Linked DNA regions of Neurospora crassa OR74A. The protein of the gene in region 3 interacts with the protein of the main gene of each other region in a biochemical or structural test. Links are inferred from orthologs where the notes say so. Each region holds a gene or a part of one and is shown on either strand. Other genes may lie near its edges.

The links. The genes of interacting proteins can lie anywhere in the genome.
Region 1: the proteins of cpc-3 (region 3) and NCU04051 form a complex in vitro, tested with the Saccharomyces cerevisiae proteins (2 studies listed by BioGRID, with this or other methods). The link is inferred for Neurospora crassa OR74A from reciprocal best matches to the Saccharomyces cerevisiae genes GCN2 and GCN20.
Region 2: of the proteins of cpc-3 (region 3) and NCU08277, one has a biochemical effect on the other in vitro, tested with the Saccharomyces cerevisiae proteins (2 studies listed by BioGRID). The link is inferred for Neurospora crassa OR74A from reciprocal best matches to the Saccharomyces cerevisiae genes GCN2 and SUI2.

Annotation. Positions count from the first base shown.
Region 1 is NC_026506.1:2,567,772-2,573,868, forward strand, and holds NCU04051 (GCN20), read right to left. Parts: upstream 2,808-6,097; 5' UTR 2,643-2,807; coding exon 393-2,642; 3' UTR 230-392; downstream 1-229. UniProt on the Saccharomyces cerevisiae protein: Acts as a positive activator of the GCN2 protein kinase activity in response to in response to low amino acid, carbon, or purine availability.
Region 2 is NC_026504.1:2,569,586-2,575,270, reverse strand, and holds NCU08277 (eukaryotic translation initiation factor 2 alpha subunit), read left to right. Parts: upstream 1-3,203; 5' UTR 3,204-3,640; coding exon 3,641-3,718; intron 3,719-3,787; coding exon 3,788-4,158; intron 4,159-4,237; coding exon 4,238-4,474; intron 4,475-4,540; coding exon 4,541-4,787; 3' UTR 4,788-5,178; downstream 5,179-5,685. Other genes in the region: NCU08276 (hypothetical protein), read right to left, coding at 1-1,997, 2,070-2,392; NCU16791 (mitochondrial inner membrane protease subunit 2), read left to right, coding at 5,337-5,593, 5,679-5,685. UniProt on the Saccharomyces cerevisiae protein: eIF-2 functions in the early steps of protein synthesis by forming a ternary complex with GTP and initiator tRNA. This complex binds to a 40S ribosomal subunit, followed by mRNA binding to form a 43S pre-initiation complex.
Region 3 is NC_026505.1:3,165,370-3,173,317, forward strand, and holds the start of cpc-3 (cpc-3 protein), read left to right. Parts: upstream 1-3,736; 5' UTR 3,737-3,807; intron 3,808-3,875; 5' UTR 3,876-4,362; coding exon 4,363-4,584; intron 4,585-4,641; coding exon 4,642-6,783; intron 6,784-6,840; coding exon 6,841-7,176; intron 7,177-7,225; coding exon 7,226-7,948. Other genes in the region: NCU01185 (urease accessory protein UreF), read right to left, coding at 65-227; NCU01186 (hypothetical protein), read right to left, coding at 835-3,011, 3,084-3,153. UniProt on the Saccharomyces cerevisiae protein: Metabolic-stress sensing protein kinase that phosphorylates the alpha subunit of eukaryotic translation initiation factor 2 (eIF-2-alpha/SUI2) on 'Ser-52' in response to low amino acid, carbon, or purine availability.

The DNA of each region.
Region 1 (6,097 bases), on a different chromosome or scaffold from region 3:
GCTGGACACCCAAAAAAAAAAGGTTTGGCATAGTCATGATCTTTTGCAGTTAGGGAGGGCCAACCTCATCCAGGGAAACAAACTTCTCTATAAATGACCCAACCATTACATATATGGTTGTTCAGTCAGAGTTCCCGAGGATGGCCGTATGATTCCTTACCTTGGGCTACTTCACAACAGCAAAAGCACGAAGCAGAAGAATAAGTGAAGCACAAAATCTACCCTAGTCACACAAAACACAGAAACAGAGCATCACAATCTACAACACTTTATGACCGCTTTATCAACCTTGAGATTTTCGCTTTGTACAATCTAACAGCATTTTTTTCCACACCTCCCACCCAACCACTACCACTACCACCACCACCACTTTTCCATCATCCTATCTTATCTTAATGCTTCTTAACAACTCCCGCCGCATCCGCCTGCGCCGCAATCCTCTTCTTGTACGCCTGCACATCACCAGGGAACTTCTCCACTGTTCCGTTCTCGCACACCCACAAGCTCTTGCACACCGTCTGTAACATGGTGACATCGTGGGAAACCATCAACACACCACCCTCAAACTTCTGCAGCGCTTCCGAGAGCGCATCCATGGCCTCGATATCCAAATGGTTGGACGGTTCGTCGAGAACCAAAATGTGCGGCTGCGTGAGCGCCAAGCAGGCAAAGGCCACACGGGACTTTTGACCACCTGACAACAAGGCCATCTTCTGCAGACCTGTGGTGCCGGTGATGCCAAAGGCGCCCAGCTGGCGACGGTATTCCTCGTCCGTCTTTCCTGGGTACGTCTTGGCCATGAAGGAGACGGCCGAGGCGTTGAGGTCGAGGGCGTCGACGTGGTGCTGGGCGAAGAAGCCGATGCGGAGACGGGGGTGCATGGTGATGAGGCCCGAAGTGGGGGAAAGTTTGCCGACGAGCAACTTGAGGATGGTGGTTTTACCGGCGCCGTTGGGGCCCACGATACCGATGCGGGAATCGAGTTGGACGTCCAGGTCGACGTTGCGCAGCAGGATCTTGTCGGGGCTGTAGCCGAAGGTAACCTCGGACATTTGCACAATGGGCGGCGAGAGCTTCTCCACCTCGGGGAACTTGAAGTGCACGCTGTACTCGGTCTCGGGCGGTTCCAGGACAGGCATCTTCTCGAGCTTCTTGATACGCGATTGGGCTTCTGAGGACTTGGCCGCGTTGTACCGGAACTTGTCGATGAAGGCTTGCAAGTGGGCACGCTGCGCCATCTGGTTCTCGTACTCGCGCTTGGCCACCTTCTTGCGCTCCTCGCGCGTGGCGTAGAAGGAGTCGAAGTTGGCGCCGCGGTAGTAGTCGAGCCGCATGGAATGCTGGTGGATGATGTCGGTGGCAACCTCGTTGAGGAAAGCTCTGTCGTGAGAGACGACGAGCACGGTGCTGGGGTAGGTTTGGAGATAGTTGGATAAGAACGTGATGGAGGGGACGTCCAACATGTTGGACGGCTCGTCGAGCAGCAGGAGATCGGGCTCGCAGAAGAGGGCTCGGGCGAGGGCAAGACGCATACGCCAACCACCGGAGAACGTCTTGGTCGCAAACTGTTGGCGTTCTGGCGAGAAACCCAAACCGGCAAGAATGCTGGCCGCTCTCGACTCGGCTTTGTCCGACTCCATTTCGGCAAGCTTGCCCTGGATCTCCCCGAGCTTGTTGTCCTGAACCTCACGCTCCCTATCAAGCTTGGCGGCATCGGCTGAGGTGTCGGCCAACCCGACGCGCTGAGCCTCAATGTCGGCCAACTTCTTGATGATCTCGGCCTGCTCCTTGAGAAGAACCTTACGCCAAACGTCGGCGTCCAAGACGGCCTGGATGGCAGGCGTGTCGTCACCCGTGAGTTCCTGTTCGACGTGAAGAATGGAAATGTGCGTAGGAATGGGAACCTCTCTGCGAGAGAGGGCTCTAAGAAGCGTAGATTTACCGACACCGTTGTGACCGACGAGACCATAGCGATGGCCGTAGGCGAGAGTGAGAGTGGTGTCGGTCAGGATTCTGAGACCACCGATGGTAACGTCGATGTTGTCGATCTTGATGTCCTTGGTCTTGCCGGAAGAGCCGTTCATCTGCAGAGGGTTGACGGCCATGTAGAACTCCTCGTACGACTGAGCTGGATCGACCTGGTTGAGCAGACGTGAGGCCTCATACTCGACCGTCTTGAAGGTCTTCTTGTTCTGCTTGGCCGCAATCTTCCTCTCGGCCTTCTCCAGCTTCTTCTTGTCGACCTTGGACTCGACCTTCCTGGCGTTGGCCGACTCAAGATCAACACCGCCCGTGGCCACGGCCAGAGTCGACGAGATGTTCCTCTGAGCGCTCACTTGGATAGTCTGGTCAAGACGCTTCACAGCCGGACCCCTCTTCTCCTGGCTGTCGTTGGCAGCAGAATACCTGTCCACCCACTTGTCGACCAGCTGACGGATCTTGTCCTGCAGGGCGGCATTAGTACCACCAGAGGCCGAGATCAGCAGGTCGGTGATGGCGGAAGCGGCCTCGACGAGTGGAGACGGGCCGGTAGCATCCTCATCGCCGGACCAGGCCGTTGAGGCATGGGTGAGATAGCCGGCCGAATACTCGGAGATGATCGGGTCGATGTTGGGGAGAACGGTCCTGATTTCGGCCTCCATCTTGGCTATGATGGTCTGACAGTTCGCTGATCAAACTACGGTGAAAACAAACACTGTCGTTTTGTCACGTTTCCTTTGATCTTGAAACGCAGCTGTAGGTAGCCTGTCGGAGTGCGATATCAAAGTGGAGTTCAACTTTTGATACTTTCACGGCGCCGGTCCGCCTCCCGGGTGCCCTCGTCCCTCTTCTGGGCGCGGGGCGGAATTTGCCGCCAACTGACCGCTCGACGGTGGGGTTCATGGGAGAAGCTCTGATTGGTTTGTTTGCACTCGAGGAAGCTAGCTGTTACTGTTAGTGCAGCAGCGCTAACGCCCGCAAAAGGAGCAACATCATCACGAGAAACTTTACCACCAGTGGCATCGAATCCTTTCCCTTTTTAACATCATCAGCACGGGCAGGCACCAGCTTTCTTGCATGGGATATTCTTCCCGCCTTCTAGAACACGCATCGTGCACGGGCAGTACGCAATAAAGCAGTGTAGACCTTCCAAAAGGGAAGGGTACGATCCTGAATGGCCCCGATGAGTTTCGTCCACTTGTCTGGAAACCACCAGGCCTCGGCCCAGGGCCGCATCGCAAGTTTCGCCAATGATGGCACGCCATTAGACACTTTACGAGTTTGTTTCAGACGGCTGACAGTGGTGCATTCAACCAATGCCCACTACCATAGCTACCAATGTCCACTGAATCGAAAAGACATCTGCCTTTGACCATTACACCATCTTGAACACAGGGGCGATCCAAGAAGCCACTTCAGCAATTAACCGCTGCTTGCTCACTGAGTGGAGCGTCACTATCACAGAAAGAAGAACTAAGCGCGAAGGAGCAATTGGAGCAAAAAGAGCCCTGCCTACGTCTAGGTACTGACGAGTACGAATCGTACTGCCCAGTGCCCGGAGGACAAACATGCAAAAGCACACACATGCCCGAAGCCGCTTTGGTGTCGCCTACTATTGATGTCCTTCGCCGCCCATCAAAAGCAGGGGATTTTACTGGGCGTGTAAATTGGAATTGATTCGACCCAACAAATCAGATGTCGCAACCGACGGAGGTTCGATGGTGTGTGCGTGTGTGTGTTTGCCCGCGCGCGGGTGGACATCTCTTCTTCTTATTCTCTATTCGTTTTCTTTGTCTGTCCGGCTGTCCGTCTGTCTCCTTCACCTAGAACTCCAGACAACTCGGGCGAATTTTCTAAGACAAATTACCGACGGCGACCAGCATCACTCATCATCGTCTGATTCAGCCTGCCAGCTGTGTCTACCAGCTATCGCCGAGCTAATCCCTACCTCTTAAGCTCTTACCTACCCTACCCTAACCTGCCCTGTCCCGTTACGGTGATAATTTGTTAGCGAAGCGAGTAGGTAAGTAAGCGATTACCCCCCCTTGCCGACAACCAAAATATAAAACAAACCGCGCGTAAAATGCGGTTACAATGTGTGATAGTCACCAGCGGACATTCCCAATCCCCACTACTACACTGCCTACCTACCCTGGCGATAGCACCATCGAGCGGTGCTGTTTTTTCAGGTCTTACCAAGGCTAAATTGTTGTTGGATGTCTGCTGTGGTTCAACATCACAAACCCTTGCGCAGTTTCAATGAACAAGATTTCATTTTCGCCCTTGGACCTGCCTATCTCCTACCTATCTATCTCTCTACTCGTCACGGGGCGCCGCCATATGTATGTTTCGGAGCAGAATCAGAATCAGAATCAGAATCAGGTAGATGCATGTTTCCAACAGCTGTCGGTCTGTTCCAACTTTCGTGTGTCTCGGACAAAACGGAACGGCCCACGATTAGGGCAGAGACGGCGCAACTGAGTCTTGTGGAGAGAAATCGATACTCAAGGGATCGTTCGCCGCCTGTTTCTCCCCAGTGTCTCGCTAGATGGTTACGAGACTGTGGCTGACACAAATGGCTGGCGGGATGTGAAGTCGAGCAGAGAAAAGAAAGATGATGCAGTGGCTAAAGTTCATACCAGTAGTGGATGGGGGGGTAATTGATCTTCGTTTCTTACCTCCTGTGGAAAGGCGACAAGGTGAACGATGGATGCTTCATAATATCAAACTTCTATATCCTCTAGTGGCGATCAACCCATCTACATACTAGCCTGCACAACAATGCTGTGTTGTGGAAACACAGCAGTTGCTTGTGTCCTTGATGATCTGCATACACTACCTACGCGCTGTCGCCCGCGGCGCAAGATACATCGAATGAGGATGTTCTTTTGTGTATCCCATCATATATATATATGGGTTTAGAGAAAAGAAGTGGTTGAAACGACACCGATAGTTTTTAAAGAGGGCGCTCGTGTTAGGGTATTGAAGCCTGCCGACATGCTGTGCGATGTGTGGATAGTGTAGGTCGCCGCTTCACCAGAATACTCTGGGTGTATGTATGCATGTTCTGGCTCACCCAGGTACGTAGGTCTATTTGCAAAGCCATATATCTGCTAGAGCCTCAAGAGACCGACGTGTGTTTGATGGGTTCTTTGTGTCAATGAGAGGGAAATGAGTAACTGGACGGACGTGAATTATCGCAGTGACCAAAACGTCTCCAGCAATTAAAAATATGTACGTGTTTGTACGGGTACTTGCGCCTTTAACGGGCGTCTAATAACCATTCATCCGTAACGCTGCCGCGGGAAAGGGAAACCGAGCGGCTTTTCGTTCATAAGAGAACGGTCGCTCATTGGTAGTGATCAATCACATTTCCCTCATCGGCTTCGCGCGCAAAGAGAAAGAGATGATCATCGAATATTTGTGGGGGAGTTTGAACTTCAACCTCCAAAGAGGTGAAGGATTCCGAACCATAAACAACCAAACATCACCAAGCAGACGTCCCGCGTTAATACCACCCACTCACTCACTAGTCACCATCCACCACCCTTGTCACCCACATTCTTTTTATAGCATGGCAGCCATGCTTTTTCAGCCTTGTTGCTGCCAAGTTCTGTCGATTTGATTGAAAATGAAAAGGATGTTCGACGTGGACAACTGTCTTCCAAGGGATTGATAACCGCCACGGTCTCATCCATCGCTCAGCTTGCGTGGGAAAGCCACGTTTCGCCAGATCTGTTCACGACATTGGGCCCTTGGTATTTGATGCGCTTTGGGACAATGACAATGACAATGGCAACAACGATGACGACGACGGCATAAAATATAATTGGGTAGCGAGAAATGAGCTAGTATCAGAGTTGGACGCAACCAAACCCGGCCACCCGCGACTGGAAATCTCCCGATCCGAGTCGAGTATTGACAGTTTTCTTGTTATGGGCAGGCATAGATGAACACAATAATGTGTAGTCCAGTACTGAGGTGTATTCTGAGGGGGTTGCTGGCTCGCTAGCTGGCCGGCTAGCAGTTCTGACACGGCTCCACGGCTCGTAACAAATAATCCGTTGCGGTATAGGGATCGCTTACATGCCTTGGCAGGCCAGTCATTAGTTGTGAG
Region 2 (5,685 bases), on a different chromosome or scaffold from region 3:
CTTGTTTGCCTTTCTTCTGCTCAGCACCAAAGTTGTTGTTCATGTTCGGTTCAGGAAAGCGTGACGAATTGGCCCCAAAGGCGTCGGCACCAGTTGCTGAGTCATGGCCATGGTCTACCTTGGCTGAGGACTGGAGGAGGTCGTGTGATGAATCGTCGCCCGGAACACAAATGTCGAGGAAACCATCAATAACATAATAGAGACCAGGATTTCTCTCACCTTGCTCCACCAAGACAGAGCCCTTAGGAAAGAAGACGATCTCAACCTCGTCCTTCATATCGTGTGCGAGTAGTTGAGGATTGGGAACTGGTGACGATGAGCTAAATCCACAAGAGGTAACTGACTCCGTGTCGTTGTCGAACGGGTCGAAGGCATCCATGAAGCCAAAAGCAGTGTGGCCGGGACCACCCCTCGAACGTCGCTGGTCCGTAGGAACAAATCTTGGGGAAGCTTGCGTCGAATCCGGATTGACACTTCCGTTACCGGTCAGGCCAATGGCCCTGAACATGCATTCGAGCACCGACTCTCGGAACATGTCGTCTTCATCAAGGGCTTCCCTCGTGTCAAGAGAGACATGTGCGTTTCGAGGAGTAGAGAAGGGACTGAGATTTCGCTGTGGTCGAGGAGATGTAGCGTCTCGCGCTAGATCAAGCTGCGATGCCGGCCCAGACTTCAACTGTTGCGTATTCGTGAGCAAGTCGCCGGGGCTAGGCATGTCGGGCGATGGGCGTTCTCGACGTGTTCCGAATGCAGGGGTCGCCGTGACGATGCTCTGCCGCCTTTTCGAATATGCCTGCAATGCCACTTCTTTCCGAAGGGAGGCAGCCGAACGACGTCGGCGGGCGGCATGCGCATTGTGAAGAGCAATGCCCTTTTCGACCTCCTTCTCTCCAATTCTTTCCCTTTCCCGCTTGAACTTTTCCTTGAGTCTATCCAAAGCGTCTCCTCTGAGATGATTAGGGAGTTGCCGAACTGTATGCTTCAAGATGTTGCGCTCCATCTGCAATACTTCGCCGCTCAAGCCAAGGTAGTTGTAAGCAGTGGCAAGTGTCACTCTTTGAAACCTCGAAAGGATGACATGAACGATGTGCGCAGTGGCCTTGGGATATATCTTGATCAGACGCCTGAAGGCGCTGGCGGGGATAATGGCTATGGTAGTGTCCACTGTCGCTCTCGCAATAATATCTGGATGGGCTGAAGTGGTATTGAGCCTCTTCGGTACCGGCCGGCGGGGTACAGCAGGACGAGTGTTCACGAGAGAAAGTGATGGTATCCTCGAAGAATCATGAGCTAGGGGAGACATTGTTAGAGACTCAGCCGAAGCCATCCCACGTTGCATAACGTGGTTGTCGGACAATGGGGTACCTGGGATGGACGGGAGGGTATCGTTCGACTGCTGGAAGTTGGCGTTCATAGGATAACCAGGCATAGCGGTGCCAGGAGCGGAAGGCGTTGGGTCGGGGCTGTCGTCGTCGTCGGTGTCATGCATTTGGATATCTTCAGTGAAGAGTGACATGATAGAGAACAGTGATGACATGGGGGCACCGTTCCGCACTTCGGTCAGAAGCTGGTAGCGCTGGCGACCCGGAGCAAAGCCTTCCTCATCGTCGCTCTCGAACGAAGGGCCACTGCTTGAGCGTCGACCATCTCTGGCGGATTTAACAAAGATCTCCACCATACCGTCGACCACAAGACAGAATCCTTGCTCTTCTTCGAGGTTGAGGGTTTCGCCAGCGATCAGCTTCCTCGTTTGCATGCTGCGGGTCAGTTCATGGAAAACCGGCCTTTCCAGATAACCAAAGATTTTGATGGCGCTGAGAAACTCGTCAAAGTAGCTAGCTAGCCCAGACTTTACTCCTTCCTCCTGTGTTTCGGGGAACAGATCAACAGCTGGCTCTTTGCGCTGGGGCTCAGGAGGAAGCCGTGAGTACATGTTTAAGTAGCGATATCTGACTACCCAGGTCACTCCTGCCATCATGAACAACATAATAAGCACACTAAGCATACCGACGGTTAGATCCACCAGCCTTGAGTCCATGTATACAAAATGCGGCTGGCGGATGACTTACAGCGTAGTGGCGTTCATGGTCACCGTCAGACTAGTCGAAAAGATGTTGAACAGAAAGGTGGGTGTAGTGATGGTGGTCAGCTTGATGACAAAGTATAGCACACTCGAGATGCGGTGCAACAGCCAGAGGATGATGGTGAACCATGAAGTCGGGGTGTGTTCGGGAACCACATCGCTAGTAGCTTTCGAGACCGCATCGCTGGCGAGAGCGACGACAGACGAGAGGGCTTCTGTAGGATCGGCGAGGATTGCCGTCGCAGTCGTGGACGTTGTCTCGGAAAGCACCGAGCTCATGGCGTTGCCGAGGTTGCTAAGAGACTCCATTTTCAGAAGCCTGAAGCACCAAGCAAGCAAGCCAAGAGTTACCGGGCGAGCCCGTCGTGTAGATCGGTTCTGACAGAAAGAAGAGAGTGTGTATGTATGTTTTTGTTTTTGTGTTTCCTTTTTTTTATAGGGTTGTAGGTATCGCGGTAGTGTCGCGCCGTCGTCGTGGGGATGGTCGTGAAGAATAGTTGGTGTTCGATCGATCAGCGTGTCTGAACCCCAAAAGTACCGTCGCAACCTGATCAAGACCTATGAGCTGTCCCCTCCCCGATGTGCCTGTGGTTGAAACCCAACTCTTACTACCTGGTCTGCGGTGTCGTCGCTCTGTTCTTTTTCATATCGGTCCAAGTGTTGTCACCCAAGACGGAGACCGTCGAGAAAAGCGAAACGGGTGAGCTCCTCCAAAAGTAACGACATGTGCGGAGGGTTTAGATGAGCCCAGTGTCGTCGGGTGTTGGTCGGCCCTCGGGATTCGTTTGGGTGCCGTGCAAAAGTCGAATCTCCAAGTCGCCGTTGGTGGACAAGCAAGGTTCAGTGATTGAAGCTCCCTAGCTCGACGATGTCCAAGGAAGATTCCAGGCTTATCAGTGACTAACCCCACTGTCGGTTCACGATTGACGTCGTTGTTCCTGCCCACTGAGCTGGCGCTTGGCACAGTGGAGTTCGGGGCAGGTGGAGTAAGTAGAGGTACCTAACCGAGAGCAGGTACCTGCCTTTGCGTACCGTTGTTCCCACCTGGGCTGCTGTGCGCTTCCTTACCTAGGTACCCGACTTACCCCACCTCAAAAAAAAAAGATGGAGCCGCGTCTCACTTGCCGTCACGGTCAGAACGTGAAATTCACCCCTCAATCCGGCGCACCAGCCACAGCCTACTTCGTTCCCTCCCAAAGTGCCCACGCCACTTTTGCAGCCTGTCTGCACGTAATTTTTGGTTGGTACCCGAAAAATACTGCGACGCATCTGGCTAACTTTGAGTGAGTCCTTTGAGCCTCGCTGGACCCTCCGAGAACCCGCTGCCGCAACCAGAACTCGAACTTCCAGAGGACCTTTCCCAGCTGTGGCCACTTGCAGCGAAACTCGGTCAATTTTCTTTCTCGGCCATCAACCCCTCCAGACCATCCACTCGAATTCCATCTCGCCCATTGTCGCGAAGCTCGTCGCCGACATTACCCTCCCCCTTTCAACACCACTAACACCACCACTTATTTCACCGTTTGCCCCGCCCGGGAAAAGGCACCAGTCGCCAACATGTCGCTCTCAAACTGCCGTTTCTATGAGGAGAAGTATCCTGAAATCGACTCGTTCGTTATGGTCAATGTTAAGCAAGTACGATACACTGGGGTCCCGGTGGTGCGCATGCGCATGTGGATGCGTCAGAGCTGACCCCCAGATTAGATTGCCGATATGGGCGCCTACGTCAAGCTTCTCGAGTACGACAACATCGACGGCATGATCCTGCTCTCTGAGCTTTCCAGAAGACGTATTCGTTCCATCCAGAAGTTGATCCGTGTCGGTCGCAACGAGGTCGTCGTCGTTCTCCGTGTCGACAAGGAGAAGGGTTATATCGATTTGTCCAAGCGTCGTGTGTCCCCCGAGGATATCGTTCGTTGCGAGGAGCGTTACAACAAGAGCAAGATCGTCCACTCGATTATGCGCCACGTTGCCGAGAAGACTCTTGTTCCCATCGAGCAGCTTTACGAGACAATAGGATGGCCCCTCAACAAGAAATACGGCCACTCGCTTGATGCCTTCAAGCTTTCGATCACGTACGTCATTCCGGGAAATAGGCGTACAGCTGTGGGACAAAATGGCGGTATTGGACAAGATGCTGACATGGATGTGAAGCAACCCCGACGTCTGGAATGACATCCAGTTCCCCACCGAGGCCGTTGCCGAGGAGCTCAAGACCTACATCAGCAAGCGTTTGACTCCCCAGCCTACCAAGGTCCGTGCCGATGTTGAGGTCACTTGCTTCGGCTACGAGGGTATCGATGCTATCAAGACCGCTCTCCGCACTGCGGAGGCTCGCAACACTGAGGAAACCCAGGTCAAGTGCAGACTTGTGTCCCCTCCCCTTTATGTGTAAGTCTTTGCCAGAAATAGTCTTGCAATGTTGAAGACAGAGTGGAAGCTAATAACTATACACAGCCTTACCAACACCTGCTTGGACAAGAATGCCGGTATTGCCCGCCTTCAGGAGGCCATTCAAGACATGCGGACCAGCATCGAGGCTGCTGGTGGCCACCTTGTGGTGAAGATGGAGCCCAAGGCTGTCACTGAGTCCGATGATGCTGAGCTCCAAGCTCTTATGGAGAAGCGTGAGCGTGAGAACGCTGAGGTCAGCGGCGACGAGAGTGTCAGCGAGTCCGACGACAATATCCCCGAGACCGTCTAAAGCGCCTCTTCATTTTGCAGCCATTCTTAAACGGAGCTATCTTTGCAGGCTCATTGGGATACTCGACACTATTTTGAGGAAAGGTTTAGGGATGCATGTATACAGTTTTTGCGACACAGGGCTGGCGTCTAGGGGATACAAAAGTCCTTCAGGCGGTAGAGGAATCAACCAAAAGATTGCATCAAGCGTATGCCTAATGAATGTGAGCGAGGGACGAGGATTGATGAACACAAGACTTGATATGGATACATAGTCATTTTATGGATGCACTTGCTGTAACTAGGTAGATCTAGGCGTTCAAGGATATGCAGCTACCGGGGCTGATAAGCGATCTCATCGTTTTCTTATCGCCGCCTGCCCGGGCATGTGGCTGCAATTATTGTCTTCTCCATGTTAACACACAAGCTCCGTACTGCTCACTGCCCTGCTCACTGAGCACGTTGAGGCGAACATACGCCCTCTATTTCACAGCAGCATTGCGATTCACAGCAAAGAGTTGCATCGCATTGACATCTTCGGTAGCTCGATAACTCGCTTGGTCGGATAGCGATGGCGGCGCGATGGGGAGCAGGAATTCGGAACGGATTCCTCGGTCAGTTCTCACACTACCTCATTCGCTACGCAACATGGATCCCTCCATTGGTGGTCTTCAACGGCTGGGTTGCCGAGATCACACAAATCAAGGGGCCGTCCATGTATCCTTTCTTCAACCCGCACTACAATGAGTCAACACGTCGGGACATCGTACTGGTCTCTAAGTGGTACCCGGACCGGAACCTCAAGCGCGGCATGATTGTGACCTTTAGGTGAGATCCAAAATCTCATCCTACAGCATCTGGCGTGCCGCATTCGGGGCATTGGTTGGGAACCTGACGACTAACTGTAACCCAGAAACCCA
Region 3 (7,948 bases):
AGTCTTGATCGATGGAGTCGAGTACAAGAAAAGAAAGGGAAGGGTAGAACAAGGTGCAACTCACCTGGTATCACCCCAAGATTGGACTCTTGCACGACACTCCGCTGTTGCTGAGCCTGTCTTTGTCTCTCTTTGGCTTCCGCCAGGCGTCTTTCTAGATCGGCGATCTCATCCTCAATTGCTTCGGCATCGTTGGATAAAGCTCTCTCATGTTGTAGTTGTGACATGTTTACTGTCATGGACCAATTCGGCGTTATTTTTGCGCTATTCGTGAGTTGACTGGAGAAACTTCTCTTGTCATGGGTGGTGATAGCAACACACCGCTGGGTTCGTTGATGGTTGTTGTTGCTAAGAGGCATTTGTAAAGCGGGGCAACCCTGCGGTCTCTTATCAACGATGCATCGTTTCTTGTTATACCTAGAAAATCAACATTGTGGGTGAACGCCTCAATCGAACGAAGAACCAAGATGAGCGGAACCCATCGGCATCAGATGTGATTATTCTGTTCCATCGCTTCGGTCGTGCTGTAGACTCGTCGCTAGCTTTTCTCATAAAAGATGGACGCCGAATAACACTATTATAATAGGCACAACGTAGCGATCCCTAGATAAGGAAACCCATATCCCCTTGACCCTTAAACACCACGCAATGCTTCCTCCTGTGATATAAACAGTGACCGTAACCCAACCAATTCCAGCCTGGCCGTTTCAGAACCGAGATCATCTGACACCCGGCCTCTACTGAAGCCTTTCCCTTGCCACACGTTTGCCCGCCATGTACATATGAAGCTACAGACATTATCGCCACGAAGAATAAGTGGTATGCATACCTCTATTAAGGCCACAGGTTCTCCTTATTCCTGTCGCCCAGACCCCTCTCCCTTTCGGCTCTTTTGCGCTGCAATCGAGCAATGGCTGCTGCCCGGCGGTCTGCGGGAAGTGTTGTGGATGCGGACGTCTTCGGAGGGGGTGTTATGCTACCGACGTTCCAGACAGAGCTGCTGTCAATGTCAAACCCTTCCAAACGCGCAATGTTTGAATGCGGCACCACATCTGGTTTGAAGGGCTCAAGATCCGGCACCTTGAAGGAGTGAGAAGTGGGAGCCTTGAATGGCTCGAGCTCGGGCACTTCGTTGGAGAGAGGCCGGGCGATACGCGTCATCCTCGTGGTTGGCAATTGAGAGCCAGCGTTAGCAGCCGCTGTTGCCGTCGCCTTAGTGCTCGTCCATGGCTTGTTCAGCTTCTTGCCTAGAATGTCCTCCAAGCTGGACTTTGTGCGGAGAGTCCTGGCAGCGGCAGATGAGCCGGCTGTCGTGGTAGTCCCTGCTGTTGTCCTATGCGAGGTGGCTGCCCGCTCAGGCTGGCTGGTCGTCCACGAAGGTGCTTGTTGCTTCGCGGCTTCACCGAATCCTAGAGGCTTTTTGCCCATGTCTGCCTCTACCTTCTCTCGAAACGCACGAGAAGAAACCAACGCATCGTCCTCGTAGCTGTACCGCTTGATGTCGCCCGTAATGGTCCTGATTCTTTTCTGGGCTCCGGCAGCTGGTGCGGGAGCCAAAAGCCCTCGTTGGATGCTTGTTTTCCTGAGAGCATCTAGCTCCTTGAACAGCAATGTGCTCTCCTCCTCGGCCGATTCCAGGAACTTGAGTGCTTCTTCTCGGTCATTTGCCTCCTTGACCTTGTCGTGGCTCGCTTTCAATTTCGCCTCCAGGTTCTTCATCCGCGCCGCCCACTTGGACTCGATCGTCTCTGCCTTGAGGGTTGCAATCTCCTGCTGAAGTTCGGATATTTTGTCGTTCTTCTTTTCCAAAACTTCCCTCGCTTCGACATATCGGGATTTGGCGTCCTCCTTCAACTTGTTATAATCTGCCCTGAGTTTTTGAAGTTCATTGTCCTTTACCAGATTCTCATTCTTGGATTCGGCCAGCCGTTTCTCCAAGTCCTTGACCTTGAAATTGCTCAGCACCACCTCACTGTTGAGTTTCTTATTCTCCTCGGCGAGTGCGGTGGCTCGTTGCTCGGCGAATTTTAGCTCAGTCTTCATTCGGCCCCGCTCGTCCCGAAGCTTTCCAAGTTCCCTAACCTGTGACCTAGCCTTCCTAAGCTCTCGCTGGGCCTCCAAAAGTGTCCGATGAGTTCTTGGCGATGCAATCCGTCGTTTGTATGAAGCATGGCTCCCGGCCTGATAGTCATTATGATCCTCTTCATCTTCGCGCAGTATCTCTTCCAATTCCTCGACCTGGGCCCTGTACTCTTGCGCCAAAGCCTTTTGCCGATTAAGCTCTTCTATCAAGCCGTTGTTGGGCTCGACACCACCTCGCTTCGAATAGACATTGACGTGGCGCGTCATCTCGGCAATTTGCTCCTCCATTTGCTGGACCCTCTCCTGTTCCTCCTTGAGCTTCTTGTTCAAGTCGACGGCCTCGGCATCTTTCAGTTTGGCGTAGGACTTTGCGAGCTGCTTGTATCTAACCAGCTTCTCCATTTCCGCCCTCGCATCCGCGTGATACTTTTCGAACTCGGCCTTCCAGTACCTTCCAGAACGCGAGTGTGGTTCGTTGAGATCGACTGTGGCATCTGTGATATCTGTTTCGAGATCCGAGTCGTCATAATACTCGACATCATCTTCATCCCATGCATCTTCGGCCGAAAACGTCTTGACACCAGTATCTGCGGTTTGCGGCCTGGTCCGTGAATTTTCGAGAATTTCGGTCAATCGGGTCTTTGGTTTCGAGGCCTGACCGTCAGTGCCAAGGCCGCCCGTCGCGGTCAAATCCAGGGCCGATCCCGCCTTAACGCCATGACCAAAGGAAACGCGTTTGCGACGGGCTGCGCCGACGCCTGGAGTCAAGAGAATGCCGTTCGGTTTCGTCGGTGATCGATGAGGACCGGGCATAGGGGCGGTTTTCTTCGAATCTTTGGCGGGTGTGCCGAACAAGGCAGTCTTCAAGGCGCGCACAGCGAAGACCGGCGCTGGAGTATCGGGGACATCGAGCTGGTTGGTAGATTCATCTGGGCCAAATGGTCAGACTCAACAATGAGGAATAAATGCGCTGAGGCTCCTGCAATGGCCTGCAACCGTACCGGCATCGGGTGCGCCCTGTGCATTTTGCGCAGTCGAGTTATTGTTTCGCCGCAACGCCCAACTAATCATTGTGTCGGTCGGCGATGGATGAAGAAGCTGAAGCGAGGTCTAGCGCAGCATACTCTGGGCGGTCGGCGATGGGGGAAATAGGCCCCTCGAATACGATTCGCGCGATAAGGTGGGAGAATTGGTTGATGGTGGTGATGGAGGTTGTAGAGGTAAGAATGGGATCGGATTCGCGGGCTGCAGTTGTGTGTCGCAGCTGAGTCGAGAGCAATGGGAGTGGAAGAACTAATCCTGTTTGATGGGCGAGTGGGTGATTTGTTTACTCTTTCCCTGAACAGGACAGACGGGAGCCAATGAGAATCGGGATGAGAAGTGGAGGACGAACGGGATGGATGAAGCTGACCTGATGGCTCGTCCCGCCATCCATCCGTTCAGCGTCCTGTCAGTGTGGTCCAGTGCCATTCAGTTCCAAGCAAACAGACGGGAGCGCGGCAAAGATCTCAATTCAGGTTCAGATTCCCAAGTGGGACCTACTGCAGGGTCTCCACTTGTGCCTCTATCATGTATTCTTTGCTCCGACCCCACTTGCAAGTGTTCGCCACGGTCCATCCATCCCTCGGCCGGTGAACCTTGAGAACCTGGAACCCGCTACCCAGCTACCTACATACCTAGCCTAGGCACCTGCTGTGAAGATAAGTACACTACATATGTCGTGAGGTAGGTAGTACTGGACTGCCCGTACCCGCTCACAGCGGTGGGAACTTCCTAGTTAACAAAGTACTTAGTTTATCGGGACTCGCTGGGGGAACCTTATCAGCCAGGCTCGAGCTGAACAGCGGAATGGATGCTGTTGTCGTGGACTCGGGCTCTGGACCATCCTGTTGTTGGGGACCTTCACGGGTCTTCATTTCCATTCCAAGTCACAGTTGGAGTCATCCAACGAGTCACCCACTCACTTGTCCACTTCACCCATCTTACATCCATCCATCTCCTCTGCTCCCACTCACTTTTGGAAACGCGACCGTTGACCACGTCACTTCGTTTCCACCCAACCTTCACCCTTGCCCTTCCACCTTGTCTTCCCTTTCCCGCATCTGAACCCAGTCTACCACGAGAAAAGATGGGCTCCGCTCAGTGAAGTCTCGCAGCCATCTCGGCTGTGTCCGTTGCATAAGGCCTAATATACCAGACCAACCCCCTTTCCACAACGACTAACAAGACTCACTGATTAATAACAAGCATCTCTGCCCAGCAGAACCGGGTCTCGCAATAATGGCGTGGAAGAAACCTGCCGGCAAGAAGAAGCCTGCCCAACAACAAACCCCCAAGAAGAACAATGAAGGCAACACCACTTTCCCGGGGCTCAAGGCCCCGGGGCAAACCCCACCAGCAAAGACTCATTATCAGGAAGTCCAGGAGAGTGAAGTCATGGTGCTGCAGGCCATCTATGGAGAGGACTTCACCCAACATGAAGCAGCACACGGGGCATGGCAGGTAAGATCTATCTTATCTCTTCTCTTCCCACAATGTTGTTCACTGACAGACGTCCAGAAATCGGAACCCCGTTTTGACATCAAGATTAAACCTTCATCTGACCAAGAGCTTTCAGTGACACTGGGCGTGGTCATGGTGGCAACTTACCCAAAGACACCTCCACTGCTGACCATCAAGGATGACCACAGTCTCCGAGAGTCGACCAAGTTCAAGATTCAAAAGTTTGTGGAGACACAACCAAAGATCTATGCGCAAGCGGAACAGGAGATGATAGACCAGATTGTCGAAGGGATCCGCGATATCCTGGAGGAAGCCGCTCAGAAAAAGGTCCAGGGGCTGGAGATCCCCTCCTTGGAAGAGGAGAGGGCAGCCCACGAAGCAGAGCTGGCAAGGTTAGCGCAGAGCGAAAAGGAGCGAGAGGAACGGAAGAAGCTCGAAGAGAGCAAGGAGGAAGAAAGAGTCCTCGAAGACATGCTCCAGGAAGAGCTCAAGCGCCAGCGAAATAAAGCAAAAGAATCCAGAAAGAAGAACAGGAGCCATCAATTATCCCCTGACCGTGCTCCGCAAGATCCCGGCGAGACTGACGAGACGCTCATGTTTGATCAGCCCTGCAAGATCACTGATGGCTCTGGTAATGCCTTGTTCTTCCAAACCGTCATTGGCAAAACTGTCTTTCGCGAAGGTCCCATCACCACCGTCTACAAGGTCAAACCAGTCCTGTCCGCCAGAACAGTGCGCCCTAGCCTAGCCTTGAAGCAAGTAGAAGTCAAGTCACACGGAAAGGATTCGGCTCAGTTCAAGAAGCAGCTGCAGTATCTAGAGTCGCAGATGGAAACACTGAAAAAGCTTCGCCATCAGAATCTGCTTCCCTTCCTTGACTTCAGGATCGATCGAGGCATCAGCGACACCGATTCTTCTGCGCCGACCATCTGGACCGTCAGCATTCTGACGCCCCTCGCCACCAAGGGGCCCATTGAAGAGCTTCTCGATCTAGCGGGCCATATTGACACCAACAAGGCAAAGATATGGACGGCCGACCTTCTGGAAGCACTTGCATTCCTACACAACAACGGAATCATTCATCAAGACCTTCACCCAGCCAACATTCTCCTCTACAGAAACGAGGCGGGGGATATAGTGCCTAAAATCACTGATTCTTTTTATCAGAGGGAGCTTCACAACCTCTGTACAAAGATAAAGACGCTGACATCCTCAAAAGCCGCCAAATCCGCATACTGGTTTCCGCCCGAAATTGCAGGTGTAACGAAGCCTCAATACACTCAAAAGACCGATGTCTGGGACTTTGGCATCGTCTTTCTTCAGATGATCTTCGGTTTGGATGTTGTCGAAAAGTATCATTCGCCTTCCGCACTGATGGATTCTCTTTCCTTGTCGGCTCCGCTGGAAGAACTGGTCTCCAAGTTCTTCAAGTCCGACCCCAAGAAGCGGCCGCGGGCTTTTGAGTTGAGCTCAAGCGAATTCCTTGCTACCAATGCGCCCATTATCGATGACGAGGACATTGCTGTGCCGGGTTCCCTGATGCCCATGCCGCAAATGACCCCGCAGAGGATGAGGCACGACTCGATGAGTCGCGGACCCATGTCTTCCAGATACCGACAGGACTATGTGGAAGAGGCTCGTCTTGGAAAAGGAGGGTTCGGAGAGGTTGTCCGAGCCCGCAAGATGATTGACGGACACCTATACGCCATCAAAAAAATCACACAAAGGTCTCAAGAGACACTTTCAGAGATCCTAAAGGAAGTCCGACTGCTTTCCCAGATGAACCATCCGGCTGTTGTCAGATACTACAATACATGGCTGGAGGAGGTGCCGGACTACGCGGACACAGAAGGCGATACTTCAACCGAAGGCGGCGCTACAGACGTTACAGACAACTCTCAGGTCACGATATCCCACGGCATAAATATTGAATTTGCCGAGAGCAAAAGCAGAGGTCTAGATTTCATGTCCTCCAGTGGGCACCCGGGCATTGAGTACGACTACAGCTCGAGTGAAGAAGAGGATGACGACGAAGATGAAGACGATGAAGAGGATGAATCCGACAATGACTCAAATGACGATGCTGCCACTGTAAGCGGCAAGAACCACCTTGGTGTCACAGGACGGCGTCCTCGACGGGGAAGTGCTCGCCCATACAAGACCGTGATGTATATTTCCATGGAGTATTGCGAGAAGCGGGTAGGTTCCCATTATGCCAAAACCAAAATCCGAATGGCAACACTGACAGTTCTATAGACACTGCGCGACTTGATTTCTCGGAATCTGTCTAAGGAAACAGCTGAGATCTGGCGCTTATTCCGCCAAATTCTAGAAGGGCTCTGCCACATTCACAGCCTCAACATCGTTCACCGTGACCTCAAGCCCGAGAATATCTTCATCTCTTCTGGACCTGACGGCCTGGATAATGTAAAGATCGGCGATTTTGGGCTGGCCACTAGCGGACAGTTGGCGATAGACAGGTCAACAGCAAGCTTGGATGCAAGCGACATGACCAGGAGCATTGGCACAGCAGTTTATGTCGCCCCTGAGGTCCGGACGGGTGGCAGCGGCTCTTATACATCAAAGGTGGATGTAGGTTTTTCCCATCCTCCTTGCAAGACTAGACTGACATCATCCCTAGATGTATTCCTTGGGCGTGATTTTCTTCGAGATGTCGTACCCTCCCATGCTTGGAATGCAGCGCGCCATGGTCCTTGAGCAGCTGCGCCAATCCCCTCCCATTTTGCCCGCTGACTTCAAACATATGGATAAAAACCATCTCGAGGTCCTGTTGTCACTGCTGACTCACAACCCTAAAGAGCGCCCTTCGAGCTCAGAGCTTATGAAGAGTGGCAAGCTTCCGATTCAGATGGAAAGCGAGGCGATACGGCGTGCGATTGCTGGATTGTCGGATCCCAACTCACCTTACTACCAAAAGATGCTCGAAACTTTATTCTCCAGGCCAATCGAACAAGCAAAGGATTACGCTTGGGACATGTCTTCATCTGGGCCATCACCCCAAGAACTCATGCGACAGTTCATCGTCAAGGACACCTTGATATCCATCTTCCGGCGACACGGTGCGGTTGAGGCTCCTACGGTCTGTCTGTATCCCAGCTCTTCGCATTATGGCCAAAACGCGGTCCATCTCCTCGACCAGAATGGTACGGTTCTTCAGTTGCCCTTCGATCTCATGATGGGCCATGCTCGCTCTCTCGCAAGGATCACGAACAGCCCCGTTGTTCAGAAGTCATACTCCTTTGGCAACATATTCCGTGATCGTCACGGCGGTGGTCAGCCTGATGTGTACGGAGAAGTCGACTTTGACATTGTCACTTCAGACGCCTTAGACCTTGCCTTGAAA